Xenopus tropicalis: one gene and its partners. The protein of the gene in region 4 interacts with the protein of the main gene of each other region in a biochemical or structural test. Links are inferred from orthologs where the notes say so. Each region holds a gene or a part of one and is shown on either strand. Other genes may lie near its edges. The genes, in order: uba6, uba1, marchf6 and ube2g2.

Evidence for each region.
Region 1: the proteins of ube2g2 (region 4) and uba6 form a complex in vitro, tested with the Homo sapiens proteins (2 studies listed by BioGRID, with this or other methods). The link is inferred for Xenopus tropicalis from reciprocal best matches to the Homo sapiens genes UBE2G2 and UBA6.
Region 2: of the proteins of ube2g2 (region 4) and uba1, one has a biochemical effect on the other in vitro, tested with the Homo sapiens proteins (5 studies listed by BioGRID, with this or other methods). The link is inferred for Xenopus tropicalis from reciprocal best matches to the Homo sapiens genes UBE2G2 and UBA1.
Region 3: the proteins of ube2g2 (region 4) and marchf6 form a complex in vitro, tested with the Homo sapiens proteins (2 studies listed by BioGRID). The link is inferred for Xenopus tropicalis from reciprocal best matches to the Homo sapiens genes UBE2G2 and MARCHF6.

The regions. Positions count from the first base shown.
Region 1 is NC_030677.2:82,717,181-82,722,747, reverse strand, and holds the start of uba6 (ubiquitin-like modifier-activating enzyme 6), read right to left. Parts: upstream 3,773-5,567; 5' UTR 3,567-3,772; coding exon 3,534-3,566; intron 1,344-3,533; coding exon 1,279-1,343; intron 1-1,278. UniProt on the Homo sapiens protein: Activates ubiquitin by first adenylating its C-terminal glycine residue with ATP, and thereafter linking this residue to the side chain of a cysteine residue in E1, yielding a ubiquitin-E1 thioester and free AMP.
Region 2 is NC_030684.2:524,904-530,484, forward strand, and holds the start of uba1 (ubiquitin-like modifier-activating enzyme 1), read left to right. Parts: upstream 1-1,869; 5' UTR 1,870-1,893; coding exon 1,894-2,007; intron 2,008-2,776; coding exon 2,777-2,835; intron 2,836-5,267; coding exon 5,268-5,436; intron 5,437-5,581. UniProt on the Homo sapiens protein: Catalyzes the first step in ubiquitin conjugation to mark cellular proteins for degradation through the ubiquitin-proteasome system.
Region 3 is NC_030682.2:69,927,011-69,931,886, reverse strand, and holds part of marchf6 (E3 ubiquitin-protein ligase MARCH6), read right to left. Parts: intron 3,867-4,876; coding exon 3,777-3,866; intron 2,225-3,776; coding exon 2,092-2,224; intron 2,020-2,091; coding exon 1,884-2,019; intron 1-1,883. UniProt on the Homo sapiens protein: Endoplasmic reticulum membrane-associated E3 ubiquitin ligase that plays a critical role in mitigating endoplasmic reticulum stress, the regulation of cholesterol and lipid homeostasis, and ferroptosis.
Region 4 is NC_030685.2:55,059,285-55,062,906, forward strand, and holds part of ube2g2 (ubiquitin-conjugating enzyme E2 G2), read right to left. Parts: intron 2,865-3,622; coding exon 2,746-2,864; intron 1,493-2,745; coding exon 1,352-1,492; intron 637-1,351; coding exon 524-636; 3' UTR 1-523. UniProt on the Homo sapiens protein: Accepts ubiquitin from the E1 complex and catalyzes its covalent attachment to other proteins. In vitro catalyzes 'Lys-48'-linked polyubiquitination. Involved in endoplasmic reticulum-associated degradation (ERAD).

The DNA of each region.
Region 1 (5,567 bases), on a different chromosome or scaffold from region 4:
TACACACAACAGTGAACAAGAGTCCCCAGTTTCAGATGACAACAGACCCCGAGTGGCTCAATAGAAAAATGGGTTGTATTAAAATACTACAAGCCACATTATCCTTAACTTGGTTTGAAACCCCACAACCAGAAACAAAAGTTATATAAAAAAATGACTAACTGAGAATGGTTGTGCTAAATAAGCTCTTAAGCTATTATGGGTAAGATGGCTTTCCACCAGCAACAATAGGAGTTGCCAGTGGAAAGCCCTTTGCATCGCTTCAGTATTCCGAAGTCCCAAACCTTTGCGTGGCTAAGTAATTAGTTGTGTTTATTAAAAAGTGATATCTAAATAAGCTGTGATAAATCAGAGAAGCTATTATCTTGGTACCATATACAGGCTGTTCAGTTGTTAATTCAAACAAGAAAGGATGAATTTGTAGAGAAATATAGTTTAGTATATATTTTATATATTTTGAGTATTTAGATAGGTCTGTATATGTATGTGTATGCACTGGGGTTTATTTGGAAGGGTCGAACTTTATAGACTTTTGTCTTTTTTCAACCCAACTTACCTACATAACTATGTAAATGGCTGTTACGGTATGTGATCTTGAATGCTCTTGAATGACCTGAACCAGGCCAATCCTGACTTGTTTTCTATATATATGAACAGTACTGCTGGTAACATCAATTAGGTGGATGGGGCATCGCCACTGACATACCTGGGGGGGGGGGGGGGGGTGCAGGACACACCTATGTGCCAGAAGCCTGAATTTGCTATTCCTTGCCTTCCATTGACTCAAAATAGAAATGTTTAAAGGGCATGTCAACCCCAAGAATAATTGTTTGCCTAGTAAAAGGAAACATAATTCAAAGCAACTTTCCAATATGGATTTATTAAATGTTTTAGTGCTTTAAAAGTTATTTGTAAATGCAATTGCTATTGAAAGCAGCATTTGCTGAACTCCTGGTTGTTACTTTTAAACAATGTTGCAATGGTCAGCCTCCTCCAGCGAGAAAGGTCTGTCAATCTGCTGCCTTGTGTTACATTGTTTCTACAGTCTGAACCACCAGGGCAGGGAATAGAACATGACAGGCAAACACTGATCAATTATAAATTTGTAATGAATGTATATTGCAAAGTTGCTTAGAATTTTGTTTTTCTATTGGGTAAAAAAAAAAAAAAATTTTTTTGCTTGACTTGCCCTTTAAAAATATTGACAGCTCATTCAGATTCATTGAAAAGCACCCTGTGTACCCTCAGCCTAAGTATAATTAATATTCTGCCACTTACCTATATAAACCATCATCAATTTCAGTTGATTCTGCTGCCATAATTTGGTCAGTATATTTTGCTGCCTGTGAAAAATAGAAGAAGGATTAGATATTAAGTAGCAGGATCAAGTTATGGTTATAATCAAATTATACTTGAGTGCTTTGGCTCATTTATTTGCAGACCCTTCAACACTTATGTCAAATACTTTAACTGTCAAGAAAAGGTAAAATGAAGTCCAGTATATTTAAAAACAAAACTTAATGCACAGAGAATGTTTATGTTGCTTGTAAATCACATTTTTGGCAGATACTGCTCTAAATCTATCTACCTTAGAATTGGTGACTAAGCACAAAAAAGCACACTGCAGCATTTTGTACACAAATGCAGGACTTCGAGAAGATGGTAATTGAACTATGGCTGACACAAACAAATACAGGGAGGTCATAATTTCTCAATTTTTATGGTAGCAAGAACCAAAAGGCATATTCCCAGTCAATGCCCAGATTCTTAATCAAATTGTGCATCTTTGGCACTCTTTTGAAAATTGCATCAAAATTATTTGGAAAACTTGGAACAAATCTGCAAGTTTGGGCCAAAATCAGACCCAATTAGTATGCAAAGCATACTTATGTATACTTATGGGGACTGAATAATTATACAAAACACATTTCATGTTTTTGGTTTTTTTTTTAAATAATGTGACATAGACAAGCTAATTCTGATAAGAAATCACAGAACACAATTTCAATGCAGGATTTTTTATTCAAAATAAAGAGTGCTTGGGACCAGAGGATTCCAGATAAGGGATCTCCATACCTTAATCAATTAAACCCAATAGGATTGTTTTGCCTCTAATAATGGTTAATTATATGTTAGTTGGGATCAAGTACAAGGTACTGTTTTATTAATACAGAGAAAAAGGAAATCACTTTTAAAATTTTTAATTATTTGCTTATAATGGAGTCTGTGGAAGATGGCCTTCCTCTAATTTGGAACATTCTGTATAATGGGTTTTCAGGTAACGGATCCCATACCTGTAATTGAAATAAAGGGTGAAGGGAAACCCTACATACTGGTGCAGAACCTCCAGGGAAATCATAGATACTGCTGGGTAAGAACTAGGGAATATTTACATACTGTTTGAGAGAGAAAAGTGCATGGGTACTGTATATATATCTAATGAAACTAGGGTTTACACTGTAAGCAATGTTGGAAATACAGGAAACTCATTTTAATAGGACACTTTTATAAGTAGCTAGCCAGAATAGCTGCAGTCACCTGTAGTTGATAAAGATACACCAGGTCCAAATTTATTAGACAAATCAATTCGAAGCGATCATTTTGGTGAAATACCTAAATGATCCCAAGTCTGAATTTGCATATTTTGTTTTGAGCAGAATTAAAAAGTTTGCATCATCCATGGAAAAACATTGCCTTCTGTTGTGCAGTGCTTTTATTTTCCAGGTACAAGACTGGGTTTGGCTGAACATTAAAGCTTAGTTCTAATAAGTCCTAATAAAACTTGCTAGTTGGATGACTCTTAAACTGAATCCTGTATTTGGAGCTTAGTATTTAGGGGTAACCAGGGAGGCCAAAAGATGAACATACTCCAGAAAGCGAGAGCTGCTAAAAAAAGGTGAAAAGCAAATACTGCTAACATATTTTGGTCTGTGGACAAAAGGCAGAAGAGTTTCCACGATTTCTTATCACGTCAAGTCAGTTAAAGTCAGGTTCATAAAAAGAAAAAATTACAAAAAAAACAGCTAATGGGATAGTACCTTTGGTACCATTACCTATCCGGCTGTTACTCAATTAGCATCCTTTGACTGCTTTGTGCAAAACAAGAAATGTAGGATACAGTGACAATGTGGGACATGCTATAGTTAGCTTTGGCAACATGGCACAGAAAGAATAAATAGATGGGTTCTACATTTCCTACATTATACATAGGGAAATATCTAAGGCAGTATGGAATGGTTCAATTTCATTAATATATAGTATAGATGTTGTATTTGGTTCAATACATAGGGCACCAACATTTTGTTTAATACATAGAGAAAAATTAATTAAAAAGCCAGGTACAAGAATATTGGTTTTAATATGACAACAGACAGAGGGGCCACAAGCACCAATCTTACCAGGTATGACTGACAGGGTGGCACACAGAAAGTTGTTCAGAAGGCGGGGAACTGGGCTACTAGTTTTGACTAATATAACAGAAGAATGCAATCTGGTCATTTGCTGGTTACCTTACTTAACCTGAACGATACTACCTGGTGTACAAGTTTGCCTAATCTCTTTTGCATCCTGCCTTCTCTTCCTCATACTTGTCTGCAAGGTGGCTGCAGGCTCCACCCCAGGAGGTAAGCCAGAATACTTGCTGATCCAATTGTTCAACCATTCCAGCCTGCTATGCATCATACTACAGGCACATACAAGCAAGATAGTGTGACATACACACAGGGGAGGGGCATCTGGCTGCAGACGTTAGAGATTGTGGGGAAAATAATGCTTGTTTTGCTTAAAAATAAGGGGCAGAAATACAGATTTTTCCTGATACCTGGTAAGAGTTAAAGGAGAAGAAAAAGCTTTGATGAACAAACAATTCAGTGGAAATATAAAATCTAATAATATGAACCCATAATAAATGGTTATTTAAGCAATGAATAATGAAATGGGACCAGGCCCGGATTTGTGGAGAGGCCACAAAGGCCCGGGCCTAGGGCGGCATGCCGCCCCGCCACACCAAAATCTAAAAAGTTTTGTACCCATACGGAGCAATGGGGGGACTTCTCCCCACTGCTTCGTATCCAAGTTTGGCCCACTGCGCACGCAAACCCCTCTCCCCCTGTATCGCGCATGCGCACTGGGGGGGAAGGCGTGTGACCGGGGGCGGACAATTTGGAAATCCGGCCCTGAATGGGACAAATGTGTGATTATAGCACCCCTTTTAGGGTGAAGACACACAGAGCTACTAGTAGCAGCTACTTGTGGCTAAAAAAAGACTGCTGATCATTTACTGATAATTGTCTCTACGTGTGTTTTAGCAGAGGCAATTCTCACTATTGTCTATGGCAAGGTATTTTCTGGAGTTTAGTAGCTGTGAAAAAGTAGCGGCTATTAGTAGCTCCATGTGACTTTGCCCTTAATGACAGTAGTTGTTTAGAACAGTCAGCCTGTAAGTGCAGACAGGTGATTTTCAACCATTACAGACTGATGTGTTTTTTGTGTAAAACAGAAGTTGAAACATCCCAGTGAAAATAAAGCACAAGCTGATCTGCCACTTACACTAAAATAGTAAATATTTCACAGATATATCTTTGTTTGTTGTTGCTACTGCAAGATGAAAGAAACTTTCCAATATACATTTGAATATTTCAATAGCTTTGAAGTTAAATGTAAATGTTACAGCATCTTTCTGCCTGCTTATATTCTCTGCACTGCTGGGTGACTCCTAAAACAAAGTAGCAGAAGCCAGCTGACTAAAGTAGAGAACTGACATCTACTCCATTGCTTCAAGACTTAGAACGAGAGATCATAAAGAGATTAATACTGCTTTCAAATGCAATTACATTTACAAATAATGTTAAAAACATTAAGAATATCTAATACATATATACTGGAAAGTTCATCCCCTTTAAGAAAAATGTACCCCCATTGAAATGTCAGCAAAATCCTGGTGCAAGCTTACACATGGATACTGACAGCAGTGACACGGCACCCAGCAGAGAACACAAGCAAATGTCCCATTAGAATGCTGTCTCCTTTATAACCCTCCTCCAAACAAAATGTGTTTCATTCTAGTTACAATACAGCGTGTAGAATTCTAACCTGTGATGCTGCAGCCGTCACAATTCGGTGTCGGCCAGGGAAAGGAAGCAATGAGGAAAGGAAAAAGGAAAACTACAAATCCCACCATGCCTTGCAGCTATAAGAAAGCGGAAGGAAAGAGCAGAATATAATTCAGACAAGCCTATCTTTATTAGATAGTGACAGGAGGCTCGGATTGTACATGTTGCCAAAAAGCCATTAAAGACTGGAAGCTTTAAAACAATATCAGGTAATGCGTAGTTTGAGATGACCTAGCGCAGCTCTGCTCATTGCAGTTTTATACAAGCGTTCAATTTTCTTGCCTGGTGCTTTCGGTAGTAACCGGAAAAATACCCTAATTAGTGATTAAAACTTTGAGTTATGGGTGACTCAATTAAAAGACTGCCAGGGACAGGAAATCTATTTTTCATTCATTTAAAATGAGTAGGTTTTTCAGAAGTGTCAGGAAGTTTGACATCAGCCCCTAACTCTTGCAG
Region 2 (5,581 bases), on a different chromosome or scaffold from region 4:
TGATACTGTCTGTCCCTCTGTCCCGGCACCGACCCTGATACGGTCTGTCCCTCTGTCCCGGCACCGACCCTGATACTGTCTGTCCCTCTGTACCGACCCTGATACTGTCTGTCCCTCTGTCCCGGCACCGACCCTGATACGGTCTGTCCCTCTGTCCCGGCACCGACCCTGATACTGTCTGTCCCTCTGTCCCGGCACCGACCCTGATACTGTCTGTCCCTCTGTCCCGGCACCGACCCTGATACTGTCTGTCCCTCTGTACCGACCCTGATACTGTCTGTCCCTCTGTACCGACCCTGATACTGTCTGTCCCTCTGTACCGACCCTGATACTGTCTGTCCCTCTGTACCGGCCCTGATACTGTCTGTCCCTCTGTCCCGGCCCTGATACTGTCTGTCCCTCTGTACCGACCCTGATACTGTCTGTCCCTCTGTACCGACCCTGATACTGTCTGTCCCTCTGTCCCGGCCCTGATACTGTCTGTCCCTCTGTCCCGGCCCTGATACTGTCTGTCCCTCTGTCCCGGCCCTGATACTGTCTGTCCCTCTGTACCGGCCCTGATACTGTCTGTCCCTCTGTCCCGGCACCGACCCTGATACGGTCTGTCCCACTGTCCCACCCCACTGTGGGTTCTCTGTTCAGGTTACCCACAGCCTTTTGGTGCCAGGATACCAATATAAGTAGGAGGAGCTTATATTTCTAGCCTGGTTACATTGTACCATTGAGTTGAGTTGTTGGGGGCAGAAACGTGGAAATAAAGACCAATTGCATTGGGGGTCACCCTGTTTGATTGCTCGCTCTGCTGCCACGGGGGGTTTAGCTGTGCGGCGAGGGTGGCACAAATAGTATAGGGGTGTTATTATATTGGGCTGCGTGGGGATGAGTTGGGCGCCTGTGAGTGTCACTGTGTGAGTACAGCTGCTACTGCTAGAGAGGCCTGTGTAAAGCCGCTTTGCCCCATGTTGGGGGGGGGGGGGTACAGTATGCTGGGTAGGTTATGCCAGGCTTCATACGGGGCAAACGCCAAATGGTGGGGCCCCAAACCCTTCCTGGGCCCCAGAGATACCGTAGAATTTCCTGCAGTCTCACTGCTGTGCCTGCCCCCGTCTCCCTGCCGTTGTACCTTCTCTCACCCCCAGGTGGGGCAATACCTGCAGCATGGCAGCTTTGTAATGCCCAACAGGAGCTGCTTGTTCTGCCCAAGAGCTGACATTCTATAATATTCATTATAGAGTTACAGAAATTGTTGTATTTGCTCTGTGTTTGCGCACACTGCTTGCTCGTCCCTCGTGCCCCGCCCCTGCTTGCTCGTCCCTCGTGCCCCGCCCCTGCTTGCTCGTCCCTCGTGCCCCGCCCCTGCTTGCTCGTCCCTCGTGCCCCGCCCCTGCTTGCTCGTCCCTCGTGCCCCGCCCCTGCTTGCTCGTCCCTCGTGCCCGCCCCTGCTTGCTCGTCCCTCGTGCCCCGTCCCTGCTTGCTCGTCCCTCGTGCCCCGCCCCTGCTTGCTCGTCCCTCGTGCCCCCCCCTGCTTGCTCGTCCTGGTGCCCCGCCCTGCTTGCTCGTCCCTGGTGCCCCCCTTCGCCGGCCCCCCCTGCTTGCTCGTCCCTGGTGCCCCGCCCCTGCTTGCTCGTCCTGTGCCCCGCCCCTGCTTGCTCGTCCCTGGTGCCCCGCCCCTGCTTGCTCCGTCCCTGGTGCCCCGCACCCTGCTTGCTCGTCCCTGGTGCCCCGCCCCTGCTTGCTCGTCCCTGGTGCCCCGCCCCTGCTTGCTCGTCCCTGGTGCCCCCCCCCTGCTTGCTCGTGCCCCGCCCCTGCTTGCTCGTCCCTCGTGCCCCGCCCCTGCTACGGTACCAGCCCTGTACAACCGCATACACTGACCTGATCTTTTCTCCCGGTTAGATGTCCAGCTCGCCGCTGTCCAAGAAGCGTCGCGTGTCCGGATCTGAGACAAAGACGGGTTCAAACTGCTCATCCTCCAACTCCGTGAGCACCGATCAGACTGCGCCGGCCAACGTGAGTGCCCCCCGGGCTGTGCCGCCATATTCTAACCCCTTTCTACTTTGCTCAGAGTCAACCTGTACCCTTGGCTTTCTAGCTGGGGGCCAGTAGTAATGTGGCCCCGAGATTAACCCAATGGGCTTATTGCAGGGGAGGGCTCTAGTGTGGCCCCGAGATTAACCCAATGGATTTATTGCAGGGGAGGGCTCTAATGTGGCCCCCAGATTAACCCAATGGATTTATTGCAGGGGAGGGCTCTAATGTGGCCCCCAGATTAACCCAATGGATTTATTGCAGGGGAGGGCTCTAATGTGGCCCCGAGATTAACCCAATGGATTTATTGCAGGGGAGGGCTCTAATGTGGCCCCCAGATTAACCCAATGGATTTATTGCAGGGGAGGGCTCTATGTGGCCCCCAGATTAACCAATGGATTTATTGCAGGGGAGGGCTCTAATGTGGCCCCCAGATTAACCCAATGGATTTATTGCAGGGGAGGGCTCTAATGTGGCCCCCAGATTAACCCAATGGATTTATTGCAGGGGAGGGCTCTAATGTGGCCCCCAGATTAACCCAATGGATTATTGCAGGGGAGGGCTCTAATGTGGCCCCCAGATTAACCCAATGGATTTATTGCAGGGGAGGGCTCTAATGTGGCCCCCAGATTAACCCAATGGATTTATTGCAGGGGAGGGCTCTAATGTGGCCCCCAGATTAACCCAATGGATTTATTGCAGGGGAGGGCTCTAATGTGGCCCCCAGATTAACCCAATGGATTTATTGCAGGGGATGGCTCGGAACGGGAATTCTGCTGAGATAGACGAGGGTCTCTACTCGAGGCAGCTGTAAGTATAAGACCCTCCCTGGCTGCATGTTATTCGGGGGGGCTTTCTTCCTATTGGCTGCAGGGTTTGGCTCCTCGACTGTTGCTGGGGGCCCCTCTGCTGTGTGGAACCAAGGCCTGGGGACTTTTTTCTCTCTGGGAGGTTAAACTGCCCAGTAGCTTTAACCCTTTTCAGTCTGTGTAACTTCAGTGACCTTTGACCTCCCCAGACCCCTGTATTGTTCAGCATGGCCAGGTGACTGCTGTCGGCCAATCCCGTGAGACTCACATGCAGCCCTAATATAATTGCTTGTTGGAGAAGCAACAGATCAGCGGATTTTGTGCTGACAACTCTTCCGGGTCTCCTTGGCCTTTATGGCCATGTGACTGCAGCCTTTGAGTGGGCCAATCAGAATGGGCAGCTGTACAGATGTGTGCCTTCTGGTATAGATTGGCAGCTTTCCCTATACACAGTTACTGTTTTGTGCATCCCAGGTCCTCCCCCCCCCCCCCCCCGTGTCTTTGTGGGGTCCCCCCCTCACTCCATGAACAACTATGTTGGGCCCCCAGTAAACCTGGCAGCCGGGGGGGTGTCTAATGGCTTAGCTAGAACTGAGAACGCTTGGTGGGAGGGGCTGGAGGGCTAGTGGCTTAGCTAGAACTGGGAACGCTTGGTGGGAGGGGCTGGAGGGCCAGTAGGGCTAATGGCTTAGATAGAACTGGGAATGCTTGGGGGGAGGGGCTGGAGGGCCAGTAGGGCTAATGGCTTAGATAGAACTGGGAACGCTTGGTGGGAGGGCCAGTAGGGCTAATGGCTTAGATAGAACTGGGAGGGGCTGGAGGGCCAGTAGGGCTAATGGCTTAGATAGAACTGGGAACGCTTGGTGGGAGGGGCTGGAGGGCCAGTAGGGCTAATGGCTTAGATAGAACTGGGAATGCTTGGTGGGAGGGGCTGGAGGGCCAGTAGGGCTAATGGTTTTAGATAGAACTGGGAGGGGCTGGAGGGCCAGTAGGGCTAATGGCTTAGATAGAACTGGGAACGCTTGGTGGGAGGGGCTGGAGGGCCAGTAGGGCTAATGGCTTAGATAGAACTGGGAACGCTTAGTGGGAGGGCCAGTAGGGCTAATGGCTTAGAACTGGGAGGGGCTGGAGGGCCAGCAGGGCTAATGGCTTAGATAGAACTGGGAACGCTTGGTGGGAGGTGCTGGAGGGCCAGTAGGGCTAATGGCTTAGATAGAACTGGGAATGCTTGGTGGGAGGGGCTGGAGGGCCAGTAGGGCTAATGGCTTAGATAGAACTGGGAACGCTTGGTGGGAGGGGCTGGAGGGCCAGTAGGGCTAATGGCTTAGATAGAACTGGGAATGCTTGGTGGGAGGGGCTGGAGGGCCAGTAGGGCTAATGGCTTAGATAGAACTGGGAATGCTTGGGGGGAGGGACTGGAGGGCCAGCAGGGCTAATGGCTTAGATAGAGCTGGGAATGCTTGGGGGGGAGGGACTGGAGGGCCAGCAGGGCTAATGGCTTAGATAGAACTGGGAATGCTTGGGGGGAGGGACTGGAGGGCCAGCAGGGCTAATGGCTTAGATAGAACTGGGAATGCTTGGTGGGAGGGGCTGGAGGGCCAGTAGGGCTAATGGCTTAGATAGAACTGGGAATGCTTGGTGGGAGGGGCTGGAGGGCCAGTAGGGCTAATGGCTTAGATAGAACTGGGAATGCTTGGGGGGAGGGACTGGAGGGCCAGCAGGGCTAATGGCTTAGATAGAGCTGGGAATGCTTGGGGGGAGGGACTGGAGGGCCAGCAGGGCTAATGGCTTAGATAGAGATGGGAATGCTTGGGGGGAGGGACTGGAGGGCCAGCAGGGCTAATGGCTTAGATAGAGCTGGGAATGCTTGGGGGGAGGGACTGGAGGGCCAGCAGGGCTAATGGCTTAGATAGAACTGGGAATGCTTGGGGGGAGGGACTGGAGGGCCAGCAGGGCTAATGGCTTAGATAGAACTGGGAATGCTTGGGGGGAGGGACTGGAGGGCCAGCAGGGCTAATGGCTTAGATAGAACTGGGAATGCTTGGGGGGAGGGACTGGAGGGCCAGCAGGGCTAATGGCTTAGATAGAACTGGGAATGCTTGGGGGGAGGGACTGGAGGGCCAGCAGGGCTAATGGCTTAGATAGAATGGGGCTGGAGGGCCAGCAGGGCTAATGGCTTAGATAGAATGGGGCTGGAGGGCCAGTAGGGCTAATGGCTTAGATAGAATGGGGCTGGAGGGCCAGTAGGGCTAATGGCTTAGATAGAATGGGGCTGGAGGGCCAGTAGGGCTAATGGCTTAGATAGAATGGGGCTGGAGGGCTGGTATGTTTGGGAGGAGGAGGAGGCCTAACCCCCCCCCAGGGTGTACTGGCTCCTGTGTAGACTAATGGGTGTATAGGTGGGTGGGGCTAACCTCCCGCTCTGCCCTACAGCTACGTCCTGGGGCACGATGCCATGAAGCGTATGCAGAACTCCAACGTCCTCATCTCCGGCATGAGTGGCCTCGGTGTGGAGATCGCTAAGAATATCATACTGGGCGGGGTCAAGTCCGTCACTATCCACGACCAGGGGAACACCGAGTGGGCCGACCTTTCCTCCCAGGTATGCCCCGCCTCTTCCCTTTCTGTTCTTCCCTTTCCTCCCAGGTATGCTCCGCCTCTTCCCTGTCCTCCCAGGTATGCTCCGCCTCTTCCCTTTCTGTTCTTCCCTTTCCTCCCAGGTATGCCCCGCCTCTTCCCTTTCTGTT
Region 3 (4,876 bases), on a different chromosome or scaffold from region 4:
GTGAACTGTACACTTGCTTGGTAAATGAGCTATAAAATATTAGGTGTATATCTAGGTCTAAAGGTGGCCATAAACGTAGCAATTTCGATCTTTTGTGCGACCAATGGTTGCACGAAAGATGGTTCCCACCTTCCACTGATGTTCAGGGCTGAATTGTCAGATATGGAGGTAGAAACAATAAAAAATCTACCGATTCAGCCCTGAACGTAGATTTTGCTCGGGTGCCATTACAAAATCTTTTAACCTGGTCGATCGGCGAGTCGACCAATATCTGCAGCCTTTTGCGATATCAGTCGCTTTGTCGACCCGCCATACACAAACCAAGTATCATACGAATCAAGGTTTTGTACGATACTATTGGTGCATATATGGTCGGCTAAAGTATGTATCACAAACAGTGCTGGTATTGTGATATTTTGTTTTCTTCAGCCTTACTTAATCCCTTTAACTCTTAAACTGGTATTTAAGTAAAATGAATAAAGAAATAGGCATTTTCCTAAACCTCCCTCAACCCTCCATAAAAAAAATCAAAGTTTAAAAAAAGAAAGAGAAAAATAAACAAATCCTAAGACTGACAATTTGCCTACTTGTGTTTGTCTTGAAGGGTAGTGCTGCTCACTAGTATCTGTAGAAAAAAAATCACTACCTGTCAGCTCACAGAGATTCCAGTGATGTCATTGTGAGCTTTCTTGCGAAAAATACTGCAAGATATTAGGCTGATGCCACACCAGGCGTAGGGCTGATTTTTTCGGCAAGCGGAAAAACGCTTGCCAAAAATTCAGCCCTACGCCTGCTACTTGTGCCTGCACCCGAATGAATGGGATACGCTTGGGTGCAGGCACATGTAGCCGAAAAAATCAGCCCTACGCCACGTGTGGCATCAGCCTTAGATGTGAAAAGCCGGTCTGTGAGCTAAATACTTTTAGGAAACAGGTGTGATTGAGGTTTACCTAGGCTGCTTGATCTGACAATCGAAGCCAAGAGACAAAACAGCTGCTTATCCTCCACATGCTTGTATGGTATGTAGGGATTGTTTGATATTTACATTACATGTGAACTTGTCCTGGATAGGTGCTTTTGGGTTACAGGAAGTTATTAGCAAAAACATTAAATAAACACCATGGGCCTCTCATATAAAAGTGCAGCAGCTGTAGACAGTGTACTTGGGAGTTCCTGTATAAGGCAGCCTGTCTTGGGGGTCTTATTATTATTAAAAGTTGCGGCAAATAGAATTGAGTCTGCAGAAGCAGTCTAAATGTGATATAAAATGGACGTAGCAGCAGGTAGTATGATTGAAGCTTTTGTTATAATTGCCATCAACGTTGCCTGTTATAATGCTGCATCTAGGGGTCCCTGCAATAACTGCGATAAAATAGTATTCAGTTTATGTAGGAGTGCCTGTTGTGAATTGAATGAACAGCATTCAGTGTCTAGGCATTCCTTATTTTGAAAGAAGGTAGCATTAGGCTGTGTGCTACAGCATGTAATATATATGCAGATTGTATATCTGATACTCGGCTATCTTTTAAAATAGCCTACAGTGTCAGACAAACATAACACTGAAAAACAGTAAAATGTGTTCAATATTCATCCAGATCATGTTATAAAGTATCAATTTGGATTGATCTGATTGTACACAGGGCGATAAAAGCTGCCAGTGGTCTGAGTTGGCAGTTTATTCACCCCTGCATGGGGCCCTGAGACGGACCCAAAGGCTGAACAAACAAAAGTTCATGTTTAGCTATAGCCAAGGGTACCAATTTAACCAGGAAATAAACAAGTCAAAAAACATTTTAATGCAAACTTTTAAAATGTATTAATAATTAGCATATAGTTCAAGCAGGTAAAAAAGGAAGATTGGTAATATAAAATTGTTTCCTTACTTGTCATTTTTGATGTGTTCATAAAGGCGCTTAAACTGGCGGATCTGGAAGGATAAGATCCCCATCAGAACTACTACCATCAAAAGAAATGGATATATGCGGCGCTGTACCAAATTTTGCATTTCTGCTGTGACACCTGTAAAAAATGAAAGAACTTAGAAAAATTTCTTATACATCTGTAAACAAAAACTTAAGCAGAAACACTTACCAATTACTGGCACAATGGCAGCAGCAATTATATATGGTATACATAGTGACAGCAACAGAACAGAGATGACTGGTGCAGCAAGTCTGCGTATTATAAAATGAAGATCAATGTTGCGTATTCCATTTGCATATACCTAATAAAAACACAAAGGATGGAAAATAAAAGTTTATATTTAGCCCAAATTAATCTCTACAAACCTGGTCTCATTACAAAATGTTTAGAATAGCTTTACCATGGAGAAATACATACATGGTTTTTAAACAAACAGACTTTTAACAAGTATTTTACACCAAAACAAAATGAAAACCTGTTTTTCACTTGAGAACATCTTTTCTGCAGGAAGCAAAAGGGTTTTACCTAACAAAACACAAAAATCATGCTTCTATTTGGCTGAGGTGGCTCACCAATAAATAATGATTAGATTTATTCCATAAAATAGTTTGCTGTTTGTGTATGTGTAAATACACAGGGCACTACATTGAAAATATATTAAACACTTGTGTATACAAAAAAGTACAGACATAGGAGTATTTTCTTGCTTTGAACAAGAACTTTTTTCAAAATTCTTTGGTTAAGCAAGTTTAAAACATTACAGCCAAAATATAAAACATGTACAAGTTGCCAATTTTTTAAGTTACAATAAACGTAATAAAGAACTTCAACATGGTGTCTTCCTCTACTAGTATTCCTCCCCTGGATGCAGCATGATCCCCTAAGTGGGGTGAAACCCATTTTTCTTTATTTATTGGTGTTAACAAGTCTTGGCTATGCTGGGAAAATAAATAAATCAATTTCTCTTATTTCTGATGACTGGACCAGTTGACCTGGTAAAATGTATAGAGAATACCGCCTCCTCTACTGTAATTTTAATGCTGTTGACGTCAAGAAGAGTTATGTGACCATACAATGCTGAGTCACAGAACTCAGAAGAGGTGACTTCTAATAGCCATATAAAAATCAGTTGAGGTCTCTTTTGGGAATCATGGGATTCTGTCATGATTTTTTGTAGTGTACTTTTTATTTCTAAATTACACTGTTTTAGCAAGTAATTCACGTCACCATTTAAAATTTTATTCTTGAACCAACATATGTATTTTTATTTTTTTTTTATTTGTAATATTGGTGAGCCATCTCAGTACATTGTGCCTGATTTTGAGCTTTCAGAAGGAGTCAGCATTAGAAATGCTTTCAGATAACCTACTGTTTCTCCTATTCCCATGTAACTGGAGGAGTAGTGAAGTCAATTGGCTTAGGGTACACTTTGGAACGGGCTTTGGAACAGCCAGCAGCAGATGACAAAAAGAGTGGGTCAAATAACAGACACACAGATTAGTGTATGGCTCTCGCTTCTGAACAGCAAATATAAATAATGAACTGCAAGGTTATTTTAAATACCCTCATATCATACAAAACTGATTAAAACTGATTTCCTTATTAGGCACAGTATAAAAGGATATAATATATAGGATATTCATTGCTCTTCTGTATCATATGTTGCAATTTTTATTTTTATAAATAAGGACATTTTAGTAGTATCTTAATGTCTTTTCATGTATCAATAAGAATTAGTGCAAAAGGAGCTTGTGTAATTTATTGGAGATATTGGAGAAGGTCACTATTTTGTATTCTTTTGTCTGTGCTATTTACATGCAAGAATCAGGAATAAAAATTATTTGGTTTCTTACTTGTTCAATTACAGTTTTCAGCCACCACTGAGGACCCATCAGAGTTATAGCAGCAATTATTTTGGCATGGAGAACTCCAAGAGCCCAGTCCTGCACAAGAAAAATAAAGACAATTGCACACAGAATGATGATTATTATTTGTCCCCTTAAATTCTAAACTTTCAGAAGCACATTAAGAATTAAACATATCCCTAGCTTAACTGAAGAAACTTGGGTAGATGCTCTAAGGCAAATTCCAGACCTGACAATATCACTAGCGGACAGGTATATACAAATGAAGTTTCTAAACCGGGTATACCTTACGCCATACAGGCTGTACAAAATGTTTCCCCAGACCCCAGACACCTGTATAAAATGTGACCGAGAAACTGGCTCATACATACACGTGTTCTGGAACTGTCCAGCCGTGCAGGTCTTCTGGAAGAAAATTGTCAACGATATCTCAGATGACCTAAGCTTTCCCCGGATATTGTCACCAATTGTTTGCCTACTGGGAGTGGCAGAGGACCTGGGGCTTTCACATCATTCTAGACTCTGCTATCTCCAGCTCCTCTACTATGCCAAAAAGGCCATTCTACTGCAATGGAAATGCTTAGCCCCCCCAACCCTCCCATTCTGGAGAACTCTAGTCAACAACACTCTAACTAACCAGAAACTGACCTACCTTGCACGGGGTTGTCCTAAAAAATTGGATGCAATATGGGGCCCATGGATTGCCTTCCACGAAACCCCAGGAAACACTGCGGACAATATACCATAACAACGGAAATAAACTGGTCCCCATCTCCCCAGCTCTACAGCCTGCCTCTTCTCCCCTTCCTCCCCCCCCTCTCCTCCCTTACTTCTCTACTCTCTCTCTCTCCCTTTTTGCTGTTTTACTTTTATGTTAATCTGAAAAATGCATAAATAAAAACTTTAAAAAAAAAAAGAATTAAACATATCAAACAAGTGCTTAAATACTATTCTTTCAGAACCATATTAAGAATAAAAGATGTCAAACAAGTGCTTGTGGGCTTTCACACTGCACATCACTATACAAATAAATGTTCTTAATTCCATTAAAAAATTAAACGGGACCTGTTACTCACATTCCCCCTGTC
Region 4 (3,622 bases):
GAGTACCTAAAAAGCTACAGCCTGTTACAGTCACAAATGTTGCATGCACATAGCTGCTCAGTGGAGGTTTAACTCTTGAGGTGGGCATTCTTGTTCTATTGCAGCATCAATTTGCTCTTTGTGACACAAATCATAATCTAAGTCAATTAAACAGCTATATCCCTTCATTTCTGAGGTCAAGTCTTCAAAATAATGGCAGAGGTCTGCATTAACAAACAAAGTATAGAACACCGGTGGCTTTTCTACGTCTGATACTTTGTTTTAAAACAAAGATCCACCTTTAATAAAAAACAGAGAATAAAGGCAGTTGCAAATAAGGAAGCAGCCAGCAAGTACTTGTGTAGGTTTTTTTAAAAAAAAAAACATGCAGTATTTACTAAGCTGTGATGAATACAAGCCCTGCATGATGTAATAATTCAGCTCAACTAGAAAAGGAATTACAACATAGAAATTTCTCTAGTGAGTCCATAAAGCGTTCATACAAAAAGTTTTTGGGATCCAGTTTCTAAAATACTGCTAGGTTTCACAACCCTAATGATTTCTGCACAGTTTGTCTTGCAATCTTGTTAAATTGCTCACGATCTTCTCGCCACATTTTTGAAGCATCCACGTTTGCTCCACTTTCGTCATTGGGCTCTGCAAAAGATTTTAGCATTTTAGCAAAGAAGCAAAAAGCAGATAATTATATTATTCTGAATCATTTTCTACTAATCATCCATGGGTTAGGGCTGCTTGTGAGACAGTATTAACTGCTTCTAAGCCTGGACTTAAACTCTGATCTGCCTGATAAATCCTATGCGTGTATATTAGAACCTGCTCAAACTGCCACAACCTCTTTGTAAGGTCATTCATGAATGTAAATCTACAGAGGAGGGATACTGTGTTCACAGAATAAGCTGGGTCCTCATTTACCTATGGGTATTTAAGGTAAATAAAACGGAGAATAATAGTTATAAAATGTGCTGACTTCCTTGGAATGTAGCTGCAGTTGCTCATTTCTCGGGGTCAGGGCACAAGTGGTGGATTGTCAGCCTACAGATAAGCACGGGATGACAATCTGCGCCTACACATAAAAAATCTTCTAGTTGTTCCTGTACACGGGAAGCAGTAAATCCTCAGGTTAAGGCACACGCAGCCAATATCCACCAACAAACAGCAAGTTTCGCGTTTGTTGTTGGATATTCGCTGCGTATCCTGCACCCGTGTGGATTCAATGCTTCTGGATGCAGGAACAACGAGAAGATTTTATAAGCATAGGGGCAGATTTCAGCCTGTGCTTATCTGCAGGCTGGCAATCCACCCCGTGTGCCCTTGCCCTTAATGTTTATCATAAAAAATTAAATTTGCCCACCTGCTAACATGCTCACAACAGAAAGCAGAATCTTCTCCACACTCTGAACAGGGCTCCACCTCTCAGCACTGCTCTCGTAACCCATGGGATCATCTCCTGGGGCATGCAGGATGGAGATGCAGACCCTCCCATCTGGATATACTAAAGAAAAAAAATTAAGCATGCAAAAAAGCTTTTGAACACTTGATCACTATTCATCAGGTAACAATAAGAGCAGCAGGTAAAAGAAACCTCAAAATTATTTTGAAATTATTTAAAGATTATATACTGCAGAGATATACTATCTATACCAATACTGTATTTTTAGCTCTCTAAGTAAGTCAATAACATGGTTGATTTTATGTTTTCCATGCCAACCAAGTGACACTTAATTTCTGTTATTTATCTACTAGTGGTGTGCTATTTACTAAGCTAGCGCAACAGTGTAAATACTTTGCCATTGCACTACAGGTCCTTTATATGCACCTGAAATAACTGATGCAGTTCATTGTCCACTGTGCTTTGGGCTTTGTAATTGCCACAAACCTTATTGCAAATTTAATAACAGAATGTACAAAACAATTCAAATGTGAAGAGTTAATCATTTAGAGTTGATCCACACAAGATGCAACAAATAATATCTGGTAATATCTGGAAGAATATGGAAGTTACGTTTTTCTAAATGCTGGCTTTTTATAAGGCTTGTGTGCCTATACTATGATCATCCCCATGCATCACGTCTATATATATATATATATATATAAAATGTTTCCATTTAATCAATATATACAAGGAATTACACATCAGCACATGAAAAGATAATAAGATACTCAAAACCTTTACTTTTCTGCCAAGTACAGCCTCCTCTAAATATGCGAATCTTAATAAAACAGCATTTGTTGGCATTTTGTAAGCCCTTCCTTTTCTGGGATTTTTAACCCTTTTTTACTCTTAATGGCTATTCATGGGACTGGATTACATACACTTATGTGTTTCAGCATCTTGAAAGAAGACAAATTATGGGTTGGTTTTGTACCATACTGACAGAAAATGAAAACAATATGTTGCCTTTGACTTGTATAAAAAGAAACAAGTAGAAATGTTTAGTGCTTTCAAACTTTACCATCAGTTTATAGAAATCATAAGAAAGTTCAGCCTGATAGATAAAGACACTCATTTTACCCCTTTACATTTAGGCATTAATTTATATAGACTACACAGGCATACAAAAATAGTTAATTAAATGCAGAAATAAATAAATAAAAAGGGCTGCAACGTTAAACGTATACTTGTTAAATATCTTTATCATTACTTATATATTTCTTGTTTATGTCTATGTGGATTTGCCAAAATCATTTACTGTAATATTAGACAAAAGCTTCAGTACCAGTAGTTGAGCTAATCAGTTTACTTACTGTTTGGATGAAACATTTCACAGGTAAATCTCATTTTCGGTGGGCTAAGTGGATAATCAAGAGGAAAACTGAGAATCGCTGGGAAAACGCCACACTCAAAACATGTGTCTTCTGGGCCCCTGCAGGCAAAAAGAATAAAGAAAACTTCAACTTGCTGCCACAAATCATGACACCTCATGAAACCTCACTTTGAAACCCGTTATCCAGAAAACTCGCCTCCTATAAAGTCTATTTGAAGCATATAATTTTAATATTTTTAAATGATCTTTTTTTCTCTTTAGTAAGAAAATAGTACCTTGTATTTGATGGTATTTAATCTACATGAATCCATTCTGAAAGCAAAACAACAATTCTACTGGATTTTTTAATGTTTCAACAATTTTAAGTAGACTTAAGGAATGGAGCTCCATACTACGGAAAATCCCTCAACCAGAAAACCCCAGGCCCCAAGCATTCCGCATAACAGATCTACCTGCACTAACCTTAATGTGTGACACTTGCACAAATTACCCTAAATGAGGTCTTATAGGGTTAAAAATTCTTAGCTCAGAGCAAGATCTTATATATATATATATACAGTGGTGTGAAAAACTATTTGCCCCCTTCCTGATTTCTTATTCTTTTGCAGGTTTGTCACACAAAATGTTTCTGATCATCAAACACATTTAACTATTAGTCAAAGATAACACAAGTAAACACAAAATGCAGTTTTTAAATGAGGGTTTTTATTATTTAGGGAGAAAAAAAATCCAAACCTACATGGCCCTGTGTGAAAAAGTAATTGCCCCCTGAACCTAATAACTGGTTGGGCCACCCTTAGCAGCAATAACTGCAATCAAGCGTTTGCGATAACTTGCAACGAGTCTTCACCTGTTTA